7 linked regions of the Oryctolagus cuniculus genome follow. The protein of the gene in region 2 interacts with the protein of the main gene of each other region in a pairwise test. Links are inferred from orthologs where the notes say so. Each region holds a gene or a part of one and is shown on either strand. Other genes may lie near its edges. The genes, in order: CRNKL1, DISC1, ITSN1, GNB1, CEP57L1, DPYSL2 and MEMO1.

Evidence for each region.
Region 1: the proteins of DISC1 (region 2) and CRNKL1 interact in a two-hybrid assay, tested with the Homo sapiens proteins (2 studies listed by IntAct). The link is inferred for Oryctolagus cuniculus from reciprocal best matches to the Homo sapiens genes DISC1 and CRNKL1.
Region 3: the proteins of DISC1 (region 2) and ITSN1 interact in binary tests that used the Homo sapiens proteins (3 or more experiments, as listed by UniProt). The link is inferred for Oryctolagus cuniculus from reciprocal best matches to the Homo sapiens genes DISC1 and ITSN1.
Region 4: the proteins of DISC1 (region 2) and GNB1 interact in a two-hybrid assay, tested with the Homo sapiens proteins (2 studies listed by BioGRID and IntAct). The link is inferred for Oryctolagus cuniculus from reciprocal best matches to the Homo sapiens genes DISC1 and GNB1.
Region 5: the proteins of DISC1 (region 2) and CEP57L1 interact in a two-hybrid assay, tested with the Homo sapiens proteins (2 studies listed by BioGRID and IntAct). The link is inferred for Oryctolagus cuniculus from reciprocal best matches to the Homo sapiens genes DISC1 and CEP57L1.
Region 6: the proteins of DISC1 (region 2) and DPYSL2 interact in a two-hybrid assay, tested with the Homo sapiens proteins (2 studies listed by BioGRID and IntAct). The link is inferred for Oryctolagus cuniculus from reciprocal best matches to the Homo sapiens genes DISC1 and DPYSL2.
Region 7: the proteins of DISC1 (region 2) and MEMO1 interact in a two-hybrid assay, tested with the Homo sapiens proteins (2 studies listed by BioGRID and IntAct). The link is inferred for Oryctolagus cuniculus from reciprocal best matches to the Homo sapiens genes DISC1 and MEMO1.

The regions. Positions count from the first base shown.
Region 1 is NC_091442.1:44,663,046-44,666,545, forward strand, and holds part of CRNKL1 (crooked neck-like protein 1), read right to left. Parts: intron 1,730-3,500; coding exon 1,551-1,729; intron 154-1,550; coding exon 1-153. UniProt on the Homo sapiens protein: Involved in pre-mRNA splicing process. As a component of the minor spliceosome, involved in the splicing of U12-type introns in pre-mRNAs.
Region 2 is NC_091444.1:51,179,735-51,184,033, reverse strand, and holds the start of DISC1 (disrupted in schizophrenia 1 protein), read right to left. Parts: upstream 2,801-4,299; 5' UTR 2,716-2,800; coding exon 2,655-2,715; intron 1-2,654. UniProt on the Homo sapiens protein: Involved in the regulation of multiple aspects of embryonic and adult neurogenesis. Required for neural progenitor proliferation in the ventrical/subventrical zone during embryonic brain development and in the adult dentate gyrus of the hippocampus.
Region 3 is NC_091435.1:11,216,616-11,220,115, reverse strand, and holds part of ITSN1 (intersectin-1), read left to right. Parts: intron 1-302; coding exon 303-550; intron 551-2,933; coding exon 2,934-3,093; intron 3,094-3,500. UniProt on the Homo sapiens protein: Adapter protein that provides a link between the endocytic membrane traffic and the actin assembly machinery. Acts as a guanine nucleotide exchange factor (GEF) for CDC42, and thereby stimulates actin nucleation mediated by WASL and the ARP2/3 complex.
Region 4 is NC_091438.1:163,893,230-163,897,351, reverse strand, and holds the start of GNB1 (guanine nucleotide-binding protein G(I)/G(S)/G(T) subunit beta-1), read right to left. Parts: upstream 2,801-4,122; 5' UTR 2,529-2,800; intron 1-2,528. UniProt on the Homo sapiens protein: Guanine nucleotide-binding proteins (G proteins) are involved as a modulator or transducer in various transmembrane signaling systems.
Region 5 is NC_091436.1:62,308,330-62,312,571, forward strand, and holds the start of CEP57L1 (centrosomal protein CEP57L1), read right to left. Parts: upstream 2,801-4,242; 5' UTR 2,664-2,800; exon of another isoform or gene 2,357-2,663; intron 1-2,356. Other genes in the region: SESN1 (sestrin-1), read left to right, coding at 3,844-4,122. UniProt on the Homo sapiens protein: Centrosomal protein which may be required for microtubule attachment to centrosomes.
Region 6 is NC_091433.1:47,650,439-47,653,938, reverse strand, and holds part of DPYSL2 (dihydropyrimidinase-related protein 2), read left to right. Parts: intron 1-104; exon of another isoform or gene 105-245; intron 246-1,257; coding exon 1,258-1,346; intron 1,347-3,279; coding exon 3,280-3,464; intron 3,465-3,500.
Region 7 is NC_091433.1:170,928,575-170,932,074, reverse strand, and holds part of MEMO1 (protein MEMO1), read right to left. Parts: intron 1,586-3,500; coding exon 1,443-1,585; intron 1-1,442. UniProt on the Homo sapiens protein: May control cell migration by relaying extracellular chemotactic signals to the microtubule cytoskeleton. Mediator of ERBB2 signaling.

The sequences.
Region 1 (3,500 bases), on a different chromosome or scaffold from region 2:
CTGGAATCTCCGTTTGCTCACGATGATGTCTTCAATACCGCGCCTGTCACCAAACTTCTTCTCAAAGATGGTGTAGTTCTTAAAGAGCTCTTGGGCCTCTTGTTTTGAAATTCTATCCAGGGCATACTTGTAGATCACTCGTACCCTTTCAAACTAAAAGCAGGCAGGATTAGCTTCTGTAACATAATGTTCTCATTCTCGTCACAAACTGGAAAGAGTAACTGTGGCATAAAATACCTAAAAGTCAGATATAAATAAAGGCTTTCCTCTCTCATTGTTGAAGGTGTTTGTCCAGGGACTGAGACTTGGCTTGGAGTTCCACATTGAATGTAGTCCACTGATGTGGCCAGTCGGATGGCTGCTGCACCTCTCAGCTAAACAGGCCCCAATCTGAGCTGCTCTTCTCTCCACTCACCCATCAAACCAGGCTCTTTCCCACACTTTCCAATCTTAGTAGACAGCACCCACAGTCTCACGTGCTCACATTAAAACCCCAGGGGTCCTCCTTCACTCCTCCCCTCCCACATTTCCACATTTCAATCCTTCAACACACCCAGCCATTACTACCTCTTCAACACAGCTCTTCTCCCCATCTGCCCACCTGTCTCCACGCTTAACTGAACCATTCCCAAAGTCTCCCTACTGGTCTCCCCTACAGACATATTTGTCACCCCCTGCCCCCGAATTTATTCATCATGAATCAGTCAGAGGCTCTGGGCCTAGCAGTTAAGACGCTGCCTGGGACACCCATATCCTGTATCAGTGTGCCAAGGTTCGAGTACCAGCTTCACTCCCATGTCCAGCCTCCTGCTAGTGCACACCCTTGGAGACAGCAGATGACGGCTCCAGTACTTGGGTCCCCACCACCCTTGCAGGAGACCTGCACTCAGTTCCCAGCTCTTGGCTTTGTCCTGGCCCAGCTGAGCTGCAGCTTTGTGAGTGTTTGGGGAGTGAACCAGTAGATGGGAGACCTGTCTAAGCCCATATTTCCAGGAAATAAACAATGATCTAAAAAATGTATAAATCATATCCAATCACTCTCCCACATAAATCCCTTCACTGCTTCCCTCTGGCCTCAGGTTCTAAACCCCCTTGCATGACCCATGCAAGTGTCTTCCTCTTTCAAATCTGTATTACTTGAGCTACTTGGAAGAATTATTTCCCACATACACACACTATGGAAGAAAAGATTGGACTTATTCATGAGGCAATCCGTTTTCATTCTAAATTCTGTTCTCTAAGGGCTTCCAGCTTTGTCTCCCAGGTTTATTACCTTCTAATCACAGGACACCAAACGAGTAACTCTCAGTTTACACTCAGATTTAAAGGCTAAATTGCAAAACAAAATTAAGACAGCTGTAATACAATCTGCAGTCACTCAACTTATGCACATGCAGCTTGGCCACACAGGCATGCTGTTTTCTGTGAGCAACTGTTTATTTTGAGAACATTTTCTCTGATAAGAAAAAGTAGAAATGAACACATAGTGCACAAGATGCGATACTTACTCTAAGTTTTTTTTGCAACATAACTAAGTTAAGCAAACTTACTTCTTTCTGGTTTTCTTCAAATTTGGCAAAGGCAACGTAAAGGTGTTCATCCATATGCTCATCTCCGAAGAACTCAACAGCTCTCTCGTACACTTTCCGTGCGTGTGCAAAATAAGCATGTTTCTCTTCAAAGCGGGCATATTTGATCCAGTTCTTAACATCAGGGTGCACGAGGACGAGTGGAAGAGAATTAAGGAACTACCAGGCAAGGCAACATGACTTCAAAAACAACAGAGTGGCTGGCGTTCGGTCTAGTGTTAGGATGCTGGTTTGGATGCCCACGTCTTATGTCAGAGTGCCTGGGTTCAAGGCCTGTGTCTGGCTCCTGACTGCAGCCTCCTTCTGACGCAGAATCTAGGGGCAGTAGTGATGACTCGAGTAATTGGGTCCACAGACTGAGTTCCCAGCTTCCAGCTTCAGCTTAGCCCAGCCCCAGCTATCACAGACATTTGGGGAGTGAACTGGATGGGAGCTCTCTTTGCCTTTCTCCGTGTCTCTCTGCTTCTCACACAAATAAGTAAATTAATAAACACTCAGGGGTGGTGTTGTGGCATGGTGGGTAAGGCTGTCACCTGCAGTGCCAGCATCCTATATGGGCGCCAGTTTGAGTCCCAGCTGCTCCACTTCTGATCCAGCTCTCTGCTATGGCCTGGAAAAGCAGAGGAAGATGACCCAAGTCCTTGGGCCCCTGCACCTGCGTGGGAGACCTGGAAGAAGATCCTGGCTCCTGATCAGCACAGTTCTGGCCCTTGTGGCCACTTGGGGAGTGGGCCACCAGATGGAAGACCTCTCTCTCTCTCTGCCTCTCTGCAGCTCTGCTTTTCAAATAAATAAAAATAAATTAATAAACACCCAAACAATAATTCAAACTAGAACCGTATGGGTGATGAAACACATATTAAGTTGCGGTAGAATCTCTTCTAGTACTCATTCAATAATCAGCGGTAGGTACAAACAAGAGCTTAGTGACAAACAGAAATCTAAACCCAGGACTCCAGCCATGTCATTTTGGACAACACATTTAACTTGATAAGTTTCATTTTTTTCATCTGTAAATAGGGAAAAATGCCAATCCTACTGGATTATTACCAGCTTTAAATTAGAAAATGTGTTAAACCCTTAGTATAATTTTTGGACAAAAGAATGTAGCCATTAAATGGCAACATTATATATACTCAGTAACATTAATATTAATATTTGAACTATGGGGCCAGTGCTGTGGTGCAGCAGGTTAAAGCCCCAGCCTGCAGGGCCGGCATCCCGTATGGGCAGCAGTTTGAGTCCCGGCTGCTCCTCTTCTGATCCAGCTCTCTGCTATGCCTTGGGAAAGCACTGGAAGATGGCCCAAGTACTTGGGGCCCTGCACCTGCATGGGAGACCTGGAGGAAGCTCTTGGCTCCTGGCTTCAAATCAGCTCAGCTCTGGCCATTTTGGTAATTTGGTGAGTGAACCAGTAGAATGGAAAACTTCTCTCTCTCTCCCTCTCCGGCTCTACCTCTCTTTCTGTAACTCTTTCAAATAAATAAATCTTTAAAAAAAAAAAATTTTGAACTCTGGGGCCAGTGCTGTGGTGCAGCAAGTTCAGCTGCCACATGAGATGTTGGCATCCTATACAAGCACCATTTAGAAGTCAGGTTGCTCCACTTTAAAAAATTTAATTTATTTGAAAGAGTTACAAACAGAGGTAGAGACAGAGAGATCTTCCATCCAGTGGTTCACTCCCTAAAGGGCTGCCAACAGCTGGAGCTGAGCTGATTCAAAGCCAGGAGTTTCCTCTGGGTTTCCCAGGTGGATGCAGGGGCCCACTGCTTTCCCAGGCCATAGCAGGGAGCTGGATTGGAAGTGGAGCAGCTCGGACTTGAACTGATGCCTTTATGGGATGCCAGCACTACAGGTGAGGGCTTTATCTCGCTGTACCACAGTGCCAGCCCCTGGTTGCTCCACTTCTAA
Region 2 (4,299 bases):
TAGTGAGATTTCAGTGGTTTTACTGTTTGTTTGTTTGTTCGTTTTTACTTGTTTGGAGTTTTCTCTACTTCTTGTAATGAATACATGTTGCTTTTAGAAAAACAAAAAAAAGTAATAAACTTAATTTAGGAAACAAGTGAACTAAGAGTTGTTAATGCAGCACAAAGATCTGATCTTCAGTCTCTTCTGTTTAAAGTTCAATTTCCCGCCGGCGCCGCGGCTCACTAGGCTAATCCTCCACCTAGCGGTGCCAGCACACCGGGTTCTAGTCCCAGTTGGGGCGCCGGATTCTGTCCCGGTTGCCCCTCTTCCAGGCCAGCTCTCTGCTGTGGACAGGGAGTGCAGTGGAGGATGGCCCAAGTGCTTGGGCCCTGCACCCCATGGGAGACCAGGAAAAAGCACCTGGCTCCTGGCTTCGGATCAGCGCAATGCGCTGACCGTAGCGCGCCGGCTGCAGCGGCCATTGGAGGGTGAACCAACGGCAAAGGAAGGCCTTTCTCTCTGTCTCTCTCTCTCACTGTCCACTCTGCCTGTCAAAAAAAAAAAAAAAGTTCAATTTCCCTCTGCCAGCATCATGGCTGAACATGAGGTCTCCACAAAAACATCCTGGGATGCAGCCCTGTGAGGTGACCTTGACACCAACAGCCTTCATCCCAGCGTCACCTCGTGTGCCATCCTAGGGTCCTGACACATTTAGGTGTTAAAGTATTAATCCAGATTCCACTTCTTCTGAGATCTGCAAGATCATCATTCGTTCTTTCAAGCTTTCCATGCCTTTGTTTTTCATTGTTTCAAGAGAATAACCTGCATCGGATTTTACAGAAATAGGGATGAAAGAAATCTCCGATTTCTTCAGTCACCTATGCAGGGCTAATAATTTACCCATCCATTTTATGATATGCAGGGTGCATCATTAGCTATGATCTAATACAGGTCTGCTCTGAACCGTGGCTCCATTCACTAACATCTTTTCAGTCAGAGGTTGAAAAGACAATGGGGAGAGGTGTCCACACAGGGGTGCACTGCTGGCTCTGCACTGAACAGCTATGTGAGCTTGGGAAAAAAGCAGGTGACCCTGAACCTCAGCTTTGCCATAGGAAAACAAGGACTGATTACCAGCCCCATAAAGGCTTGGGGAAGAGTTCATCAAAAGAATGCACAGTAGAGCTCCCAGCACATCTGGAAGTTGTAAAAAGTTGCAGATGTTAGGATTCCTGCTAGTAATATGATGTCCTGTATGTGCACAGTGACTCCTGTTCCACACGATGTCTTACATGTTTTACTTTATTTGAACCTCAGGTAGCACTATTGGTCTAAATGGCAGGAATTACTATTCCCCTTTTCTGGTTTTTTTTTGTTTTTTTTTTTTTTTTTTTTGTAAGTAGTTAAGAAAAACTGAGGTCCAAGGTCACAAAGCCCACAAAGTAGGTCTACTGTCCAGGGCTGGGTTCTTGTTCTGTGGCAGAGTCTGAACTGAACCTCAAGGGACTCCATGCGTCATGCCTGAGCACAAGAAAACCCAGGGTCTTTTACAGCACCCTACTCTTCGTACTTAAATCAAACCAGTATTCCTTTAAACGCCACAGTATTCAGTTTTACTTAGGAAAATTAGCAACGACAGTCTTTTCATCCTGCAGTCTGTCTCTGGAGTAGAGCTAGGGGCTTCACATCCACCACCACACCGAAACGGCGCAGCAACCCTCTGGGGAAAGGGGTACTGTCATGGTCCCCATTTTAAAAGTGGGGAAACTGAGGCACAGCTAAGTCCAGGATTGAGAAGCAAAGACACTGTCTCCAACTCCCAGCTTTCATGGCCCTGGTGTTTCCCAGCTCACGTTTGTGTAACCAGTGAGACACTTTTAGCAAAGTGCTTTCACATCCATAGACCCAAGGAGGCAGGGAGACCCCGTCATTAGTGGCCACTGTGACTTCTGAGGGAAGGGATGCACCCAGGACATAATGCACACCCTGACTCCAAATCTCACGGTCTCCAGAAAGTTTCCAATACTTCTGCATGTATTTTAAGAGCGAGAGATACAAGTCCTGTCATGCTTGGAAAGCAAACATCTACGCCATGACTTCAGTGTCACCACTGCGAGCTGACGGTGTAATCAGGGTCTGGGCAGTGGTGTCCCGCCGAAGCTCCGGCGAGGGCTTTGCCGTCGCCAAGTTCCAAGCCTGCAATGAAACTGCACCGTGGCCTGTGGAGGACGCGCCCTCACCAGCTCCTTACCCCACTCTCAACTTCCACCTTCCAGGTCCCGCGGGTCCCGGGCGAGGGCGTGCAGGGCCGCTCTGTCCTGCGGGGGTACGGATGGACAGGACCCATCCCAACTCCAAGCACGCCCCTGGGGCCTTCCGCCGCCGCCCAGGACCCGTCAGACGCGAGCATGGGTCCGCCGCGGACTGCTCTGCAGAGTCCTGCGGGCCAGGAGGGACTTGGAGGGCTGGGCACAGAGCTGACAGCCCCAGACCCTCTCCTCCCAAACCTGCACCTTACGCGCCCTGTTGCGGTTTCCCGCACCTCTGAAGGGGCGCACCGAACTGGAGCTGTGAAGAGAGGCTCGCCCAGACCTACTGAGGGGGAAAGGCGCACTTCCGGCCCGGCCCAGACCTCCCGGGACCCATTCTGGCTGCTGTGGCGGAGCCCCTACCTGCGCCGCGGTCCGCGCCGCCTCCGCCGGCCGGGGCGCCCTGGGGACCCCGGCGCAACATGTGCCGGGCCGCTGGCTCCTCCAGTTCCGCCTTGGCTGCCTCCTGCTCCGGTCCCCGGGCCGAGGGAGGCGGATTGGGAGGAAGTAGCGCTCTGGACGGGAAGTGGGGAGGGGGCTGAGGGAGAAGAGGGAGGCTCCTTCCTTCTCATTACAGAGCGCAGTGGTTTCCTTTGCAACTGGGTCACACACAGGGCAAGCATACATCCAGTCCCTTGGCTGGGACAGGCGCAGCGGGCAGGCTCTTGGTGGGTGCCTAGTACCTCGGGACCCCAGAAAGTTTGTTCTTCGCTCTGGATCCCTTCTGGACAGAAGCAGGACAAGGGAGATGCAGGCAGGAAAGGCTGAGCGGCCTTCAGCATAGGACCTTAGCAAGGTTCTTCCCAGATGCCTAGTCTTGGGAAGTGACCAAAATGTGAGTGCGGGAGTTAGCATCAGGTAGACTCATTTTATTCCAAGTGCAGGGCAAGTGCCGAAGGTGACATCGAAGGATAAGCATGAAAGCGGTTGTTTAGAAATAAAAAGAATTCCAGCTTTTAGACTCTTCTGGCAGCACTGGGCAGGCCACAGTCCGTTGCAAGCGTCTAGTTCAGTTCCAAGCATCTACACCATTGACTCGCCTACTAACACCTTCTCTTTGGCTCATTCAAAAGAGCCAAGGAGAATCCCCCATGTAATTCATGCTACAGAACAGTGCGATAAGGAAGGGCAAGGCGTGGTTTTTTTTTTTTCTTTATTTAAAAATTTTATTTATTTGACAGAGTTAGACAGTGAGAGGAGAGAGACAGAGAGAAAGGGCTAGTCCTGGTTGCTCCTCTTCCATTCCAGCTTTCTGCTGTGGCCTGGGAAGGCAGTGGAGGATGGCCCAAGTGTTTGGGCTCCTGCACCTGCATGGGAGATCAGGAGGAAGCACCTGGCTCCTGGCTTCGGATCGGCGCAGTGCGCCGGCTGTAGGGGCCATTTGGGGAGTGAACCAATGGAAGGAAGACCTTTCTCTCTCTCACTGTCTATAACTCTACCTGTCTAATAAAAATAAAAAAAGAGCTTAAAAAATATCACCAACTGGGCCAGCGCAGTGGCTCACTAGGCTAATCCTCCGCCTGCGGTGCTGGTACCCCAGGTTCTAGTCCTGGTTGGGGCGCCAGTTCTGTCCCGGTTGCTCCTCTTCCAGGCCAGCTCCCTGCTGTGGCCCGGAAAGGCAGTGGAGGATGGCCCAAGTGCTTGGGCCCTGCGCCCACTTGGGAGACCAGGAGGAACACCTGGCTCCTGGCTTCGGATCTGCACAGCGCACTGGCCATAGCAGCCATTTGGGGGGTGAACCAATGGAAGGAAGACCTTTCTCTTTGTCTGTCTCTCTCACTGTCTAACTCTGCCTGTCCAAAAAAAAAAAAAAAATCATTAACTGACAAAAGCACTGTATTTTGTTTTGTTTTGAGGTAAAACTATTAAACACAGTTCAAAAGAAAATACAATGACTATTTAACTACAGTTACACAAGTCTGGAACCTCACTAATTGTTCATATTATACTTTTACAAATGCATACAACTGTAGAGTCTCCTTAAGCTTAGTGTCAACCAAAGGAGGAG
Region 3 (3,500 bases), on a different chromosome or scaffold from region 2:
CTGTCCAATTCAAAATAACTCTGAAAACTTAGACTGTCTGTCCAGGTACTTCTGGCACTTTGTCTTGATTGTCAAAAAAAAGTACCAAGAATTAGAACTTGAATTGTTGTGCTTGCTGTTTTCCCACGATTAATGTTTACAGAGCATTTTTCCAGACATTTAGATGAGGATGGAAACATTTCTGTGCTGTGTGTCAGTCAAAACAGGGAGGAGGCTTGGGGCTTTGTTATGGTGGGTGCTGTTTGCTGTGTTCCGGGGTGGATTTAGTTCCACTTAGATGTTGTGACTTGTCTTTCCCACAGGTGGATGAAAGCCAAACTGGAGAACCGGGATGGCTTGGAGGAGAATTAAAAGGAAAAACAGGATGGTTCCCTGCAAACTATGCAGAGAAAATACCAGAAAACGAGGTTCCCACTCCAGCCAAACCAGTGACTGATGCCACATCTGCCCCTGCCCCAAAACTGGCTCTGCGTGAGACGCCTGCCCCTTCAGTGGTGAGCTCTTCCGAGCCCTCCACCACCCCCAACAACTGGGCCGACTTCAGCTCCACGTATGTGTGACATCCTGTTTCTGATGCTTTTTAAATATCAATTCAGGAATCATTTTTCCTCTCTCTGTGTCTTTATGGTGTGGTTGTCTCTCCGTGTTAAGGAAGCTGGCTTGTTCCTATTACCCTCTCTCTCATTGTCTCCCAGGAAGATTGTGTATTACATTCTCTGAACTGGATCTAATGGAATCATTGCCCAACTATGGTTTAACCCTGGCACAAAATATACTCTGTTATCTTGTTTCATTCTGTAATCTGTGTATCTCTTTCATTTTTCTGGATGAAATGGAGACATACAGTTTCCTACCACAGTTGGCCCTCCTCATCTGTGGATTCAACCAACTGCTGAGCCAAAATGGTCAGGAAAAAGCATTTTGTTAGCACTGAACACATACCGACTTTTATCTCATCATTACTCCCTAAACAACACAGTATAGCAATATTACCATAGCATTTACATTTCCTTAGGCATTATAAATAATCTAGAGCTGATTTGAAGCATACGGAAGAATGTGTGTAGGTTCTGTATAAATACTACTTGAGCGCCTGCAGATTTCGGCGTCCACAGGGGTCCTGGAACCAATCTCCCACGGATACCGAGGGAACACTGTCATCTGTTTTGACATCCATGTCTGTCAGCAAATATTCCAAGTCATTTCCTGCATGAATTTAAATAGGACTCTCTTGCTGGGCAGAAACAGAAATTGCATTCAGTCATGTGGTTTTGAATAAGATAGCTGTTTCCTCTCAGGCTTTCGATTTTCATTAGTCTTGTGCAAGTGTACAGTGGAGTGACGAGGTGCGTGTCCTTGACCGCTGTTATTTAGCAAAACAGCAAAGAAGTAGAGGTTTGAAATGACAGAGGAGCCTGCTGTCCAGACCTCTAGTTACAGGGCCATGACCTAGATGTGTAGTTGCCTGAAACTAGTTGAAACCAGTATGCAAATAAGAGTGATTTGAGTGAGAAGTGCTTGGGGGTGGGGGAGGATTTCTCTTCAAATCTAATCATCTTTCAGAAGAAACCAGTTGAAGTTAAGGAATCAAAATGTATTGCAGGAGAAGGGTCAGGTGGGACAAATAGAGGGAAGAAAGGAGAATGACTAGCAGGGGCAGGAGGAAGTGGAGGAGAGGATTTGAGGATAGCCAGTTTTTCATACTTAGAGTTTCATATCAGAGGTTGAAAGCCATAAAGATCCTCGCTATATAAAGTTTGCTTTTAAAAAACAGTCGCCTCCCATTAGCAGGACTTCCAAGTCAAAACTGTCCCTTCCTCTTTTGATCTCGATTGAGAAGTTATAACTTTCTAACCTGAAGCTTAGCCTGAAATAGAAGAGTAATACCATGTTTTCCAGGATTTGTTTTTGCTGTGGATTAAATTAGTAGGACATTCTTCCTCAATAAATGTGTAGTGTGCAGTTCTCCTGCTATAATTATGGACATTTTATTTTCCAAACCAAAAATCAGAGTGTGTGCTCTAACAGAGCAGTTGTTTTGATTTTTTTTCCAGTTGTGTTTACGTGTCTTACAAAGATGTAAACACAAAAATTGCGTTTAGATCTGCACTCGCACAGATGCGTTTGTCTAAAATTGTAATATCACAAAATCACAAAATTAGAACTATCTCCCTAAGATCCAAGACAACTGGTTGCTGTAAGGATGCCCCTGCCAATGACCAGACATCCAGGTGTCTGCCCTAGGGTGGACGGAGAAAGAAGAGGTGCTGGGAAGCCTTGGCTGTGGTGCTGTTTTCCTAACTTCTTCATTCCTCAGTTGTCACTGCTGACGGTAATGATCATGTAAGGAGGGTCCCGCACAGCGAAACAAAAAAGGGGCAGAGTATCGTTCCTGTTTTACCCATGAGGAAGCCAGGAGTCAGAGAGACTGCTTTAGTTTGCTAAATGGCCTTTGCTAATGTCGAAGCTCAGACTGAATCCTAAGCCCAGGGCTCTTTCCTCTCTTCCTTGTTCTTTAACTGTAGAGAGCTGCAGAAATGGGGCAGGCACTCAGCTCAGCGTGTCAGACTCTGCTTGGGTTGCCCACATCCCATGAGAAAACTTCCATTCAAGCCCAAGCTCTCTTCCCCTCCAGCTTCCTGCTCATGCACACCCTGGGAGGTGGCAGGTGATGCGTCCCTGTCACCCATGGGGGAGATCCTGATTGAGTTCCGAGCTTCTGGCTTTGGACTGGCCCAGTTCCAGCTGTCGTGAACGTTTGGAGAGTAAACCAGGGGCTACGTCTCTGACTTTCTGTGTCTGTCTCTCTGCTTTTAAATAAATAAACAGGAAATCCTGGATTTGTGTTTACACGGGCTCACTGAGCACTGAACTCTGGGTGGAAAGCTTTCGGAAGTGCGTTACCATTGATGGTGGTGTACTTTTCCTTCCAGGTGGCCCAGCAGCACGAATGAAAAACCAGAAACGGATAACTGGGATGCGTGGGCAGCCCAGCCTTCGCTCACTGTCCCCAGCGCCGGCCAGTTAAGGCAGAGATCGGCCTTTACTCCAGCCACAGCCACCGGCTCCTCCCCTTCTCCTGTGCTAGGCCAGGTAAGGGCAGTCGGTGCCCTGCAGCCAGCAGGTGCTTGTTGGTGCTGCCGTTCAGAAGTCAGCTCTGCTCTGTGCTTCTGGGATGGCTTTATCACAAGGGGTCCGGGAGTCTGAAATGCGCTGGGAAGGACCAGCGTTCAGAAGGGGGAGTCGACCCTTCCTGAGCTGATCAGGGCAGCCCTGCCCAGTGGTAAGGGTCGTACTGGAAAATGCAGAGGGCTAGCATTTCAGGCAGAAGCAGTGAGGAGGGGCTTTAAAGCAGAAAACCCAAGCGTGTGCATGGAAAATCACGTTCATTCCCTTGGCCAGGCCATTGATCACTGGAAAACAAACCGGGGAGCTCTGAAATACCCTGCAAAGATAAAGGAGTGAAATTAATCAGTTCAGCCAAGCAGGATATGCCCATC
Region 4 (4,122 bases), on a different chromosome or scaffold from region 2:
GCCTTCAGCATTCCAATTCTAGTAGGTTACAGGATACAGAATTAACCTGCCCCTTGATAAAACGCATTACGTTCGCAGTGATTATTAAATCATAATCATCTCTCATCAGTGGCACAACAGGCTGAATTCTCGGGTAATTCTAAGAATCATTTTAGTTAAGTCTCGTCTTTTAAATTAAGCTCTTCGGAAAGGCTCCTTCTCAGAATTCCGATTTAAGCTAATAAGGGAATACGTTCACTCAGTCTCACTAGCAGCGAGCAAGCAGCCCGGGTCCACGGAAGGCAGCGCCTGCACAAGGACACAGGACGGAGCTGAGGCGGCTCCTCGCCTCCCCTGGCCGCGCACGGCTCGCGGCCCGGAGCCGCCGCACTTCCCAGGTGCGGGGTCTGAAACAGAGCTCACAGCTGTGGGGCACAGGCGCCCCGTCCCCCGCAGCCCAGCCACAGGGCCCTGCGCTCCCGTACGTATACACACTCCTTCAGTGTGAAGTCTCAGCCATGTAAATCATTTCCCTGTCTCAACACACATTCGCTTTTATTACAGATTTATTTATTTACCTGAAAGGCAGAGTTACACAAAGAGAGGCAGATACAGAAAGATCTCCCACCCACTCACCCGCCGGTTCACTCCCCAGATGGCCGAACCGGCCAGGGCTGGGCCAGGCTGAAGCCAGAGCCTGGAGCTCGGTCAGGGCCTCTCCCGTGGGTGCCGGGGCCCAGGCACCCGGGCCTCCCTCAGCTGCCCTCCCAGGCGCACCTGCGGGGAACTGGCTCAGAAGTGGAACAGCCGCTGGGGCTCAAGCCCCTGGATCTGTTCTCATCCCCCCATTTCATGTGAAACCGCTTCGTAATCCCACCACTCATTTCCATCAGCAAACACAAACCTGAAACCAGAATTCAAAACAGTGTTTAAAAATAATCTAAAGAACCCTGTCCACGTCTTACGAGACTTGCACTAAACAGGGGTTTCAAAATCATATTGCTTGCCATATGGTCAAGCCCAGATAATAAAATTGAGCCTATCTATTACCAATCCACTAACGCTGAAGCCAAAGCCGCAGGCAGCAAGAATTTAATCCAATTTGGAGACTGACATGAGCCAAATCTCTCGGGCGGAGAAAAACAATCCAATGAAGAAGCTACAGCAGATGCCAACACTGCACTTCCGAAATGAGACCAGTGTTCCTCCTCAGAGCAGGATGAGCCAGAGCCCACTGCTGCCCGCGGGGCCGAGACCCCCACCCTCCCCGCCGGCCGTCTGGGGGCCACACTTTCCCGGCGCAGCCAAGAGAAAAGTTCAGGGCGCGGCCCCTGCCCGCAAACCCGCCTCCGGCACCGGGCAGGCGGAGCGCTCTCCGCTCGCTGCTCCGGAGTGAACACGAAACCGACCCCTCGCGTGCCAGGCAGCAGGGTGGGCGCGGGGCCACCTCCTCAGGCGCCCCCGGCGCGGATTTCCACGCAAGAAAACCCCGCAGCATCCTCGGGGCCCTCGCCGGCCCCGGCCGGGCACCTGCACTGCAGCTGCGGCCCTCGGGCTCCCGCCCAGCCCCGCCGCGCACCGCGTGTCGCCGGCCGGCGGAAAGGGAACTGCTCCCTCGCCGTCTGGCTGCCGCGCACCCCCGGAAGCGCCCGCATCCTCACGTCCAGACGGCGCTCCTTCCCTCCAAAAAGCCTGCAGCTCCACCGGAGCGGCACGCCACGCACACGCCACGCGTGCCCCGGAGACCCAACGCGCTGCCCGCAGCCGCCTGCCATCCCCGCACCGGCGAGCTGGCCGTGACAAAAGCCCAGCTGTCTCCCCCGGGCAGCGACGGTGACAGCACGGTCGCACCGACGGACACACGCAGCAGCCCACCCCGCGCCCACCCGGCGCGCCCCGGAGGGCTCCTCCCGCGGCCGGCGCCCCGCGCCGCAGCGCCCCACGGCGCCCCCAGGACGAGCGCGGCCCCCAGGACGAGCGCGGCCCCCGGAGCACGCGCCCCCACGCGGGACGCCCAGGGCCGCGGGGGGCCCGCAGCCCGCGGGGCCGGCGACAATGGCCGCGCCGCGGGGTCGCCATCTTGGCCGTGGGGCCCGGACGCGGCGCCCACGCCGCGCGAGGGCCGGGGTCGCCGCGGGGTCTCGCCCGCCCGCGCGGCGCTGGCCCCCGAGCTCCGGGCCGGGGCGGCGCGACCGCCGAGCCCGGGGCCGCCCGCCGCGGCCGCCCCTCCGCGCGGCGGGGCTCCCGCGGCCCGGGGCGCGCCAGCCTTTGTTCTCGCGGCCGCGGTCCGAGCCGCCGGGCGGGGGCCGCCCCCCGACCCGCGCTGGCCCGGGCGCGCCCTGGCCTCGGGGCGGGCTCGGACCCCCGCCCGCACCCCCGCCGCCTCCCGGGGCCCCGCAGCCCCACCCGGGCGGGGCAGGAAGACGCGGCCCGGCCGGCGGTGGGGGCGGGGCGGGCGCCGGCGGGCAGGGGAAGGGGCCCGCGGGGACGCCGGGGCACCGGGGACCGGGCCGGGGGGCTCGGGGCTGGGCCGCGGCGGCCGCGCTCACCTCGGCGCCCTCGCCCGGCCTGACGCCCACGCCGCCGCCGGGGCCGCTCGAGGCTGGCGCTCGGGCCGCGCTGCGGGCGCTGGGCAGGTGCGCGGCGAGGCTGTGGGTCCGCGGCGGCTGCTCGCTCCGGCCGCTCCCGCTCCGCTCCCGCCCGCGCCCGCCGCCGTCCGCCCCTCAGACGCCTCCAGCCATCGGGATGGGCGCGGCGCCCCTGCCCGCAGCTCGGGAAACCCCACGCGCCGCGTCACCGCGCACGGCCGCCGGGCGCGCGCACGCACGCGCGCTCCCCGAGCCGACGCGCGCGTGCGCGGGGCTCTTAAAGGAGCCCCGCGGCCCCGGCTGCGGCCGGACCTAGGCCCTGGCTCCCCTGCTCGCGCCGGCCGGCGCCCGGAGAGCCGGTTCTGCGCCGCGCACGGGCCGAGGGCCGGCGCATTGCGGGAGACGGCGCCGGAGGGCTCTGGAGCCCGGTGCCCCCGAGTGGCCTCCCGCGAGGAGCGACCACGTGCGTGCCGAGGCCCGACAGCCGAGGCGCGGGCGCCGGGTGGGGAGGGCGGGGGTCGCGATGCGTCCGCTGGAGCCTCGGGGGCCGTGGACTCGCTCCCCCCCCCCGTCCAGCTGGTCTGGCCGCGGTCCCAAGTCCAACCCGAAGCCCCTTTCCCCGGGCGTGCGCCCGTGCAGCTGGGCTCGCTGGAGCCGCGGCCTGGACCCTCCACACCGCGTGGGCCCCGCGTGAGGCGGCTGCCAGGCAGAGGGGGGGTGCGCGGACCTGGGTGTGCCACGGAGCACGGGGAACCTGCAGGATCTCGCCAAGGCCCACCCCACGCCGCGGGGCCCATGTGCGGAGGACCCTCCCCCCGCCCTGCTGACCCCCACAGGAAGGCTCCTGACTGTGTGCACCAGTGTGGGCGTGTTCTCCTGCCCCCCCCCCGCCCTGTGACTCCAGCTGCTGGCTCCGGTGGGGTCACCGCCCCAGACATGTTGTCCTCTGGCCCTGGCCGCCTGAGACCCTGACCGACCCTTGCCCCTGCCACAGTGCGAGGCCGGCCTCGCCCACCGCTCCCCGGCCCCACCAGGCATCCCCGGGAAAGCCACAGCAGGTGTGGAAGATGTGGGGTGATGCTCGGCTGTGCCCAGCACAGGGACACCATACAGTGGGCCCTTGGTGGGGCAGCTTCACTGGCCAGTGGAGTGTGAGTGGTGGGCACAGATATGGGCCTCAGGGAAGGGCTGGCGTGCTGGGCAGCCCCAGGGCCACGGGGCAGTGGAGCCGCAGAGGGGTGGATCTGGGCATTGGAGGTGGGTCCCGGCCTCAGTGCCCACCCGAGGTCCAGGACACAGGAACGTCGGCAGGGAGGCGGAGGGTGCAGCGCGCAGGCCAGAGCGGGCAGGGGCTGTGTACGTGGACGCCGGGAGGCTGAGGGAACCCGGGACCTCCAGCCCAGCCATCCAGGGCACTGGGCACTCCACACCGTGGGCCAGCCTGGTGCCAGGGCTCCTCTGGCCCATGGCTGGGCCATCCCATTACAGCCAGGGCCACGAGGCTGGACCAGCCGCGAGGGGTGCAGCCCTGGCACCTCCGGCTACCGGCAGGGCT
Region 5 (4,242 bases), on a different chromosome or scaffold from region 2:
CTGTGGGGAGCAACTCGGACTAGACTGTTACTGGAATTAAGACTTATTCTAGGCCGGCGCCGCGGCTCACTAGGCTAATCCTCCGCCTAGCGGCGCCGGCACACCGGGTTCTAGTCCCGGTCGGGGCGCCGGATTCTGTCCCGGTTGCCCCTCTTCCAGGCCAGCCCTCTGCTGTGGCCAGGGAGTGCAGTGGAGGATGGCCCAGGTGCTTGGGCCCTGCACCCCATGGGAGACCAGGAAAAGCACCTGGCTCCTGGCTCCTGCCATCGGATCAGCGCGGTGCGCCGGCCGCAGCGCGCCGGCCGCGGCGGCCATTGGAGGGTGAACCAACGGCAAAGGAAGACCTTTCTCTCTGTCTCTCTCTCTCACTGTCCACTCTGCCTGTCAAAAAAAAAAAAAAAAAAAAAAAGACTTATTCTATGCATCTGCTCTCCCACAATATGGCGCTGGGAGAGGAGGAAACAGCTTCTACACAGCTGCCTCCAGTTCAACCAATAAACAGCAGGACCTGCTCCTGATTGGAGGAGAGCAGCATACTCGGCGTGTGGGTAGCAGAGTTGGGATTGGTGGAAGAGGACCATAAAGGAGGAGAGAGACAACATGCACCAGGAACATCTGAAGGAACACCTGAGGAACATCTGAGGAACATCTGAGGAACATCTGAGCAGCCTCCGAGAGAGCTGGCCGGCGGTGTGCCGCTCCCCCGCGGAAGTGGGGAAAGTGGCAGGGGGAACCGCCCTTCCACCTCCTTCCCGGTAGCAAACCCGGGAGGGCCGAGCAGACAAAAGAACAGCGCAGGGTCCTGTGTCGTTCCTCTGCGAAGAGGGGGAGCGACATAATGGTGCCGTGACTCGGATATGAAGCCTAGGCAGGGTTTAGTGTCGTTCCTCCGTGAAGAGGGGGAGTGACAAATGGCTTTGGTTTTGCTTTTGAAGATCAGTCTTAAGAAGTTATTCCCTTTTAAATTTATTATTCAAACCAGTAGCTTTAGAAAGTAAAGCCAAATTAGGTCAATTAGCTGAACTGGCTCAAGGGCAGATCACTTACTCAAACTGTCTAAAAAAATTCAATTCACAGTACCTCTCTGCAGCTTCAAAAGGCTGTTCTGTCCCCATCTCCCAAATACATACGATTTGGCTTACTGCAGTTTCCTCAAAGCACCCTATCTCTCATTTCTGGCTTGTTCTTTTGGCCTTTACCTCCCTTGAAATAAAGATTTCCCTAACTTTGCACATCTGGGCTACATGATCTCCTTCTAGCCATCCTAGCAATACCAGATTGCATTGCAAGTGCATATTTAACCACTGGTTCTCTAACTAGATAGGACTGTTCCTTTCTCAGTTGTAAATACTCAATGCTTAGGAAGCCTAAATTTTAGAAATACATCTATTCTGCAATACGATGAATTAAAATCGACTCAGATTATTGGTCCACTCATGGCCTTTCAAACCTCAACTTTTCTCAAGCTTAATGACTTTTTTTTTTTTTTTTTAAAGAATGACTCTTTTAAAGATACTAAACTTGGTGGGGTTATGCATCATCTTCATGGCCTTCCCAGAATTCACACTTAGGAATATTGAGGATACTTTTCCTTTCAGTCTTATATAAGGCACATTTGACTACTTGCTTTTAAAGCGCTGTTGAAATTTTTAAAGATTTATTTGAAAGAGTTACAGAGAAGGAGAGGCAGAGAGAGAGAGAGAGAGAGAGAGAGAGAGAGAGTTATCTCCCATCCAGTGGTTCACTTCCCCATATGGCCGCAACCAGACAGGAGCCAGGAGCTTCTTCCGGGTCTCCCACGTGGGTGCAGGGACCCAAGCGCTGGGCCACCTTCAGCGGCTTTCCCAGGCACCTCAGCAGGGAGCTGGATCAGAAGTGGGGCAGCCGGGGGGACTCCAACAGGCGCCCATAAGGGATGCCGGTGCTGCAGGCGGCGGCTTTACTCCAAGGCACCACCCCAGATCTTATTTAACAAAACAAATAAGCCCACAGAACACCCCTGGAGAAAGGCAGAAAACAGTGCAATTGCACAGGGATTTTTAACCCATCCCGCGCGTGTCCACAGGAACCGGCAAAACAGACAGCAGCGCGGGGCCCCCTTTCCAACGCATCTTTCCGTCGTGGTCTTAATCAGGCCGCTCCCACAGACCCTCGGGATCGCGACCCCCAAAGCCTCGCCTGACCACGCCCCCGGACTCGGGGCACCTGCACCAGTCCTTCTCTCGCAGGTCACTGGGAAAAGTCCCCGGATAAGGACCGCAACCTTAGACGGCTTGGTTTCCCAGGTTCCAGAGGAAATGGAGGACGGAGAAAACCCTATCGAGGGGAACATGACGAAAAAGCGCGCAGTGCTTACCAGACCGACGCCCTGGGGCAGCCGCTGCCTCGGCTAACCAGTTGGTTCACAGGCTGCCACATTCAGGTCGCAGTGGCCTCTGGGGGTTGTAGTTTCTGTCGCACACAGACAGCGCCGGCATCATCAGAACCACATTTCCCAGAAGTCAATGCGAAAGTGCCCTGCCTCCTTAAACCTGGAGCTCGCCGGCGCTATTTTTAGGCTAATCTTAAATTTTTAAATTCTTCCAAGGGCGCGTCCGTGTCCTCCTCCCCTGCTTGTGTATAACTCGTGTGTGAGCAAGTCTCAGCACATTCCTGCTCCTTACTTTTCCTCCCTCTTCTCCAGGACAGACTCCAAACGCTCAGGAACGGAAAACGCCCCTCGGCGCGCGCCAAGTGGTTGGGAAGGCGCATGCGCCCTGCCCGCGGTCACGCATGCGTAGCACCCGGCAGCGGTTTGGCGGCCGCGCGCAGCGGACTTGGGGTCTGGAGAGGTAGCCTGGCGGAGGGCGGGGCTTTTTCCAATGGCTTTGCCACGGCGGGTCGCCGCTGCCTGGGCGGGGAAGAAGGCGCTGGGGCAGGGGCAGGCGGCTCCCGGTTAGTGCCGGGCGGAGAAAGGGGAGGGGCTGGGGGGTGAGGACCCCATCTCCCCTCCCTGCTCCCGCCTTCTGGGCCGAACCCCACAGATGGGGCTGGACGAAGGGGCGGGCTTTGCGCCTCGGTCGGGGCCCAGCCGCTCCCGCAGCTCCGAGGACTGCCGAGGCCGCCCCGTGCCCTCTGGCTGGGCGGGCGGTAGGCGAGGGCACAGGGGCCGGAGAAGCGGCGTCTTCCCGGGCGTCCGGAATCGGCCGCGGCCCGGGCCGCTCTCCTTGCCCTTCTGCACGGGGGCTGCGGGAGCCCCCCTGCCGGGAGCGCCCGAGTCTCGGGCCGGGCCGGCCACCGGGCCCGGGGTCCGGCGAACCTTCGCCGCCGGCGTCCAGCGAGCGGCTGAGGCGCTGGGCGGCGCGCGCGGAGGGCGGGACCAGGCGCCGGAGGAGGGGCGGGGTGGGAACGCCGGGGCGAGCCGTGCGGCCGCACAGACAAAAAAAAAAAAAAAAAAAAAAAACCGAATGGCTGGAGCGCGTTCCGCTGCCAGCAGCGTTTTTGGGCAGAGCGCGGATTTGACAGCTCGACGACGTGAGGATATCCGCTGACCCCGCGAGGCCGAGAGCACTTCCCCGAGACTCCCCGTGCCGCGAGGCTGGCGCTGGGCGGACTGCGACTTCCCAACTTTTTTGTTTTTTCCATCTCCGACCCGAAGAGCGCCCCGTGGGTGAAGGAGAAGGGTGAAAAGGGTGCTCGGTCTTGCAGATCGGTTCTGGTTCCCAGCGTCTCGCAGACGTCGTGTTATGACGGCTGCGTTTCGCCCCGGTTTTAGCCGCACGTGCCCCATGTAAGGGCTGCGGGGCGCTTTGGGGGGCATGCCGAAGGGGGACTGAAGACCGTCCAGGCAGAAGCCCGATTGCCATGGCTGAAGGGGAGAATGAAGTGAGGTGGGACGGACTGTGCAGCCGAGATCCCGCTGTCCGAGAGACGGCCCTGGAGAACATTAGGCAGATCGTTTTGCGAAAGACCGAGTGTCTGCGTTCGCTGGAGGGGCCACCTTCTCGTCCACCCGACGGGCATTCGGACGCCGCCTCTGTGGACGGGCTGAATAAGCTGCTCGCTCGGCTACTGATGCTTTCCAAAAGGTGTCCCTTTAAAGACGTGAGAGAGAGGAGTGAGTTTATCCTGAAGAGCGCCCAGGTAAGGAAGCGCACTTTAAGTACGTTGGTCTCTGTGGTCCAGGGACATTTTATTCTTGGTCATTCCCTCGGCCGTCGCTTCCCGTGGGTCGTTTGGTGAGTTCACGAATTGACGCTACCT
Region 6 (3,500 bases), on a different chromosome or scaffold from region 2:
GTGTTGGGGGAATAGAATCTGGCTCCATCTGCCTCACTGGAAGCTGTGCTGGGGTAATATACCCGACAGGATTTTGTGAAGGTTTTCGTGTTTACCTCCTACAGGTGCAGGAATTGCTGTCGCCTCTTCCCCTTTGACTTTCTAAGGTCTCTATCAGGATGAAGAATCCCACAGTGTACACAATTAAAACCATCGATGGATGGCTTTCAGTATGTTAGAGAAACAATAAATACTTTCTAAACCCACGTGCCTGTGCATTTGTGTGCAAACGTATTTGATTTCCCGGCGCTTATACATGTTTACAAAAGGATTCTCTATGATATTTGTTTCTTGGCAGCTACTAGACGTAAATAGCTCTTACTGAGTATTATTTTGTAGTTGACTTCTGAGTTAATTGGCAGAATGATTTTTGAAATATGTTGCATGTTAAAAGAATAATATATGGCTTAGTTTGTAAGGTTTAAGCCCAGTCTGGAATAACGCAGGTGCATATTTACTGAACAGGATTTTAGCATTCCGTTCTACCAACAGCATGTGGGATAGCGATGAGTCATGGTGTCCCATGTCGGTACATTCTTGGCTTTGCACAAATATCACCAATGAAAACACAAGTGGACCAGCAACCTATAGTAGTGTTAGGATTTGCCTTCTCTCATATCTCATCATGAAGCTTTACTGTTTTCTTAACAGGTTGGTTGAACTGGTCTATTTTTGTGGTATCCCTGCCCCACCCCCACTCCACAACACTTGCCATGATTTTCCTCAAAGATAAATGTGAATGAAGGACACAGTGAATTGAAACCTTGCTGTGGTTGAACCAAGTATGTTTGTGTAGTGGATCCCATGACAACAGACTTTTGGTCGATTTTCCTGGACACAGATCTCAGGGAGATGTGACTTTCCTATGTGTGGGTGTATTTTTTTTTTTTAAATGAGATTTAGCCAAAAGCCACTTAAAAAGCATTGACTTCTTTATCTGAAATGTTTTCAGTGTTCTTCAATAGGAGGTTTTTTTTTTTAGGGTCTAATAGAAAGATGGTTCATTTATCTACAGGAAGCCTTGGCAGCGTGTGACTCATCAGGTGCTGATGAATAGGTTACAACACACCGGCTCACCTTTGTCACTGAACCTCCCCACACTGGCTCATTTGAACCTCATTTTTGAATAGTGAAATACACCCTGGGCTCACTTATCTTTGGCCCTGTGTTTCTCAGGGGTCAGTTACGCATTGTGACCTTGTTCCCTCTTTGTTTCAGAGTGATCGTCTTCTGATCAAAGGAGGTAAAATTGTTAACGATGACCAGTCCTTCTATGCAGACATATACATGGAAGATGGGTTGATCAAGTAAGTGTAGCCCATTGTGCAAAGATGTGTTTGCAGCCTGTAGTCCCAGTATTCATTCATAAGCATTAGCTACCATTCACCCCCCGAGTCTCAAGCTTAAATGTCTTTAACAAGTGACCAATTTAGTATTTTCTTTAAGGCCATTTTGATGATGGGGATATGTGAACTCAGGAAACCTCAGATTGAGGGAATTCAAAGCCATTATTGAATGCACATCCATTGCATTATACATGAGTGTTGTGTGATTTGCTATTTTTAGTGGAAGTGACACAATATCTTCTTGTTGCCAGCTCAAATACATGGCTCATGTACATGTTCAGGTACATGCTGAAGGTTTTCCTAGAATGTAGTTGTTTGGATTGCCCCGTCCTGGGGCACAGATGTGGAATACGGCCTTTTCTATTGAGATAGCACGTCTGTCTTCTCACTCAGAAATCCACGCTGGAGCGGCTGAAGAACACCAAGCTAATTACTGAGTAGCACACACAAATCACTGCCTAATCCTCGGGGCACTCTAGGTTTCATGCGTTAAGAGGCAGCTAGCACAAGCAGGAATGCCCTTGTGTTGACTGTGTATTATGCTGCAAAGGAGAAACAACGCAGCAGTTGCTGCATTTGGGTGTTTTTGGCCTCAGAGGTTAAATGAGCTGAGTATGTACCAGTGCCCTGCGCCCTTCCTACTGGGACAGCTCACAGGGCTCTGGAGAGATAGCACATCTGTTTAAAGAAAAACATTCAGCAAATGACATCTTTTAAATAAGCAGCATTCATCAAGGGCTAGCAGCAAGCCAGTCCGGAGGAGTGGAAAACTGGAGTGGAGATGACCGTTGCCTGGAAGCTCATCCCGATTTATGAACATTACGTAGGTTGTAAGATTTCCATACGGGTATTTAATGTCTTCTCCATTCGCGTTGCTTGTGACAGTCTCAGCTGCCAGCTCCCCAGTGCTGTGACTTTCATGTTCCATTTCCCCCTCGGTTAGGAGGCAGCCAGCGTACAGTCTGGTCTGGCAGGACATTGGCCTAGAAGGGAGCAGGCCTGTATGCTATTTTTAGTTGTCACTAACGTGTCTTAGATCCTTATCACCCCCCTCTTCCTTAATTTTCTTTTCTAGAAAATTGGTAGAAAGATGTATGAACACTATTTTTTTTTTTAAGAAACTGGACATGAATCATGCGCCCCAACATAATGAATATTCGTTTTTCTGCCTTTGTTTCTCTGAGTTGCTGGGAGCATGCTTCCACATCAAACACACTTTTATTTGTTCTTTCATTTTTTATTCATTTGAAGAGCAGAGAGAGACAGAGATCTCCCATCCACTGGTTCACTCTTCAGTGCCCTCAAGAGCTGGGTATCCAAAGACAGGAGTCAGGAACTCAATCTGGGTCTCGCACGTGGGTGGATGTGGCCCATGTATTGAGCTATCAGCTACTGCTTTCCCGGGTGTCTGCTGGCTGGAATCTGAAGTGGATCCAGAACTTGAACCCTGGCACCCTGATACGGGATGCAGGTGTCCCAAGCGGGGTCTAAACTGCCGTGCCAAAGGTCCACCCCAACACATTTCACAGTGTTCATGACTTTTTTTTTTTAGCTCTTTTGGTCTCCCTCCACTCTTCCTATTTTCTGTTGAAAAGGCTATATTGAAAATAAATGTTTAGAAAGCGTAGGCAGATCTGAAGAACATTACTATATGATAATCAGCTTGAATGTGTGTGTTGCAGAAAGTTGAGTGACATTTTATATAAATATTTTGGGGCCTTTGTTATCATTTCATCTTAGGCATTTCTTGGTAGCTAAACTGCTTTCAATGAAGCCTCTGAAGCCTGTTTGAGTTTTGTTTCTCACTTATTCTGTGTCTGGAAGATAGTTTTTGGCTGATCCTGTTTGATTCCACGTTGCACTTACCACCCTGTCACCAACCCTGTTTATTTAGGCAAATAGGAGAAAACCTGATTGTGCCAGGAGGGGTGAAGACCATTGAAGCCCATTCCAGGATGGTGATCCCGGGAGGAATCGACGTGCACACTCGGTTCCAGATGCCCGACCAAGGAATGACATCTGCTGATGACTTCTTCCAAGGGACTAAGGCGGCCCTGGCTGGGGGGACCACCATGATCAGTAAGAAAATTAAGAATATTTGAAAATGAGTCTGTG
Region 7 (3,500 bases), on a different chromosome or scaffold from region 2:
ATACTTTCTGCCAAAGGCAGCACATCAACTAACCAACAGAATTTGTTCTTAAGAAATCCTGAGAGCTCCTCTGGAGTTGAGGAAGGAAAAACAGCCACCTGCATATCCTAAATCTAGGTTTCCTGCCCTCAGCACTAATGACATTTTGGGCCAAGTAAGTCTTTGATGTTGAGGGTAGTCCTGTGCATTGCAGGATGTATAGTTAGCAGTTTCCCTAGACTCTAGTCTAGTTTCCCTAGACATCAGTAGTATTGCCACTTTCCAAATCCCATCCCTGCTGTGAAAATCAAAAGTGTCTTTGAAGTATTTTCATAAACTGCCTAGGAGGTGAATTAATCCTTTTTGAGGATCAGTACCTTACAAAAGCTTTACGTATATCATTACGGACTAAAGTCCTCTTGAACTGATATCTCAACACTAAGAAGCATTCAAAGGGAGAAGAAGGAAGAAGCTACCATAAAGTAGCCAGACAAATGTTGAAATCAATTCAGGCAATCAATGCGTAAAATACATTAAAAAAGGCAAGGCTCCCAATACTGAGGATGTTATTTTGGCCATCCTAGCATTCTATCTTGGAACTGATGGTCTGACGTCCTATGTTTCCTACAATAATCAAAGAAATAAGTGATGACTAAACAGATGTTGGCATCCTTGAACCAATGAACCAAGGAATAAACGGGTCAAAGAGGCGTCTTAAGAGGAACAGAACTCAGAAATATTCTAGGACATTAATAGATAAATGAGAGCAAAATTTATCCAAAGAAAGCTAAAATAAAATCTACTGACAAAGTCATCCAAAAATTTCTCACTTCCTTCTTGATTTATTCACTGTGAAGCGTCCTTACTCTCTCAATTCACAATAATCACAAAAATCACTTAAGAGTCCTTACCCTTATAAAGCATTACCAATGAAGACCACAGTGCTAATAGCCAACGTGTTACAATCTTTGGAGGGTAGCTCTAAACTGATGGCAATTGTGAGCAAAAAATAAGCACCGAAGGAAAAAAAGAAAGAAAGAAAGACTAATTACAAAAAAGGAAAAGCAGAAAAGGACTGGCATAGCACACAGTGCTCTTCTGCATTCTAAAGAAGAGCATTTGTTTCATCCACCAAAACTACCTTCAGAGGACCTACCACACATACCTACCTGAAAATGGGGTTAAAAGGTCTTAACTCCCACTAAGAACAGTTCTAAGCAAGGATACCCTCACAGTGTGAATCCAATTATACCAGTCGCCTTTGGAAATGTATCCATAATCCACTATTATAATCTGATCCTTTTTAATGATCAAAAGACTTTTTCATTCACTTCTAAACACTGCTGCTAAAAGTAAACTTTCCAAGGAAAGTGATAAAGACTGACAATCAGCGTTTAGAATGAAAAGATACCTTAAAGCACAAGTATATAATCTACCATGATACATTAAAGTCTAGAACTTACCCCAATGGCAGAAATCAGAAGAAACCACAAAGAGATTACTAGGATCCGCTAGATATTTACTGAAGAGTTTTCCGAATTCCTGTTCTTTTGACTCACTCAGAGCTCCAACCAGTACAGGAATAATGGTAAACTCATCCTTATGGCTTAAAGAAAACAGAAAAAAAAAAAAAAAAAAAAAGGCAAAACAGTCATTCTGGATGTTTAAGAATAGAAACAGCTTTGCAAAAATCTTAGCACTAGAAAGTGGAATATTTATTAATAGTGGTAAGAATAACATATATTACTGTTGAATTTTTTTAAAAAACTATAAATTAAATGTTTAAAGAACACAACTTTAAAATATGAGATGTACAGAATACTAAAAATACTGAAGAAAATTACAGAAATGTACACTATTTCTTTAGATAAAAAAAAGTTATGTGACTATCAAGTATAATAGTACCTTCAAAAATAAAAAGTCCATCAGACCATCACCAATTCAAGTCTCGTCAACTATCCACCAAACGCTACCATCATCTGCCCAATCCTTCCAGGATCTTAAAAGCATTAAAGTCTTCCTCATCTATTTTAATCCTTTCATCATAAATGCCAACATTTCTGGCATTTGTTCTGTAAGCCTGCCAAATGAAACCCACAAAACTTTACCTTTGCTTCAATAAGACTGACCAACTACACTTGTACACTTAGCCTAAGGATCAAGATATAACATAGGCTGAAGATATAACTCAAATGTCATTGAAATCTAGGATAGACAAAGAATTCAGGAAGTATTAATTTCTAGCAGCAAGGAAAAGACACCCTGGCCACCCACAATGTTTATAGCATAACCACAAGTCCTTTTTCACTCTAAATTGATAGATTTATGGAACAGGAACAAAGTGATTTAATAAAGAATAACTATGACATGTTATAGATACAGCCATATATCCAAAATCTTTTTCTTAAATTTTTATTTATGTGATACTAAACTTACATACCAAGGTACTTCAAAAACTTCGTGGAAATGGAATTAAAAGACAAGTTTATTTTGGTACAAAAAATTTTGAAATCTGTGCAATATATAGGGTCTTCAAAATGTTCAGGGAAAATGTGTAAGATAAAAAAATTACTCATGGATTTCAATTCCTTGGCACCAACATAAACTTATCTTTTAATACTATTTTTGCACAAACTTTTTTAGTACCCTCATATATTCAATATTATTAATAATCTAATGTTCCCAGATTTGCAATTTTAGAACATAATCATCTTTATCTTTTTCTGAACAGGACTTTAAAAACAAACAAAAAAAAAACCACCATTATAATAAATGCTTTTTAACATTATAATCTGGCACTTAACTAATGTAGGGCAAAGAGAATTCATAAAAGGGTTTTTTAAAATACTAAGTTTAAGTAATCCCAAAATAAATGTTAGCCCAGCTGCATAAAGCTAAAGTCAGGGCACCCAAGCGCCGCCCCCAAAAAAACCCCCTTACCCTTGTCAATTGCGAAATAAACAGATCATACAGATCTCCAGTCCCTCTGCAATGCAGGGGCTTCTTGGGCAGAATCTGCATCTATGGAGTAAGAAAAAAAAAGGAAGCTGGCAGAGGAAGCTGCCATGGGGATATCTTTTCTTCTGACTCTTACCAGTTTGCTAAAACTACCTAAATAAACAGGGGCTCCCGATTAACTGTGAGTATCAATGGAAAGAAAAGAATTTCAGCCCTTAGTAAAAATGCAGGAAGATTGTTTTGAATTAGTCTAACCTCAAGTACTACTATAAAAATAAACATTTATATCATCAAGATTCTACAAGTAATTATGATATGATAGAGAAACAATTATATGGAGTACAAAGAACAAAGAGAAGCCAGAAGAAACAGGTTAAAATATCATCCTCATACTAATGCTAACAGATGGTTAAGATCCTAACCTGAGAACTGATTTCTTTATCTGTAAAATGATCCTAATTACAGTATTTATGAAGGGGATCTTCAAAAAGTTCACCAAAAATATCATGAAACGATTATGGATGGATGGATTTCAAAAATTTTTGGAACAAAATAAATTTATC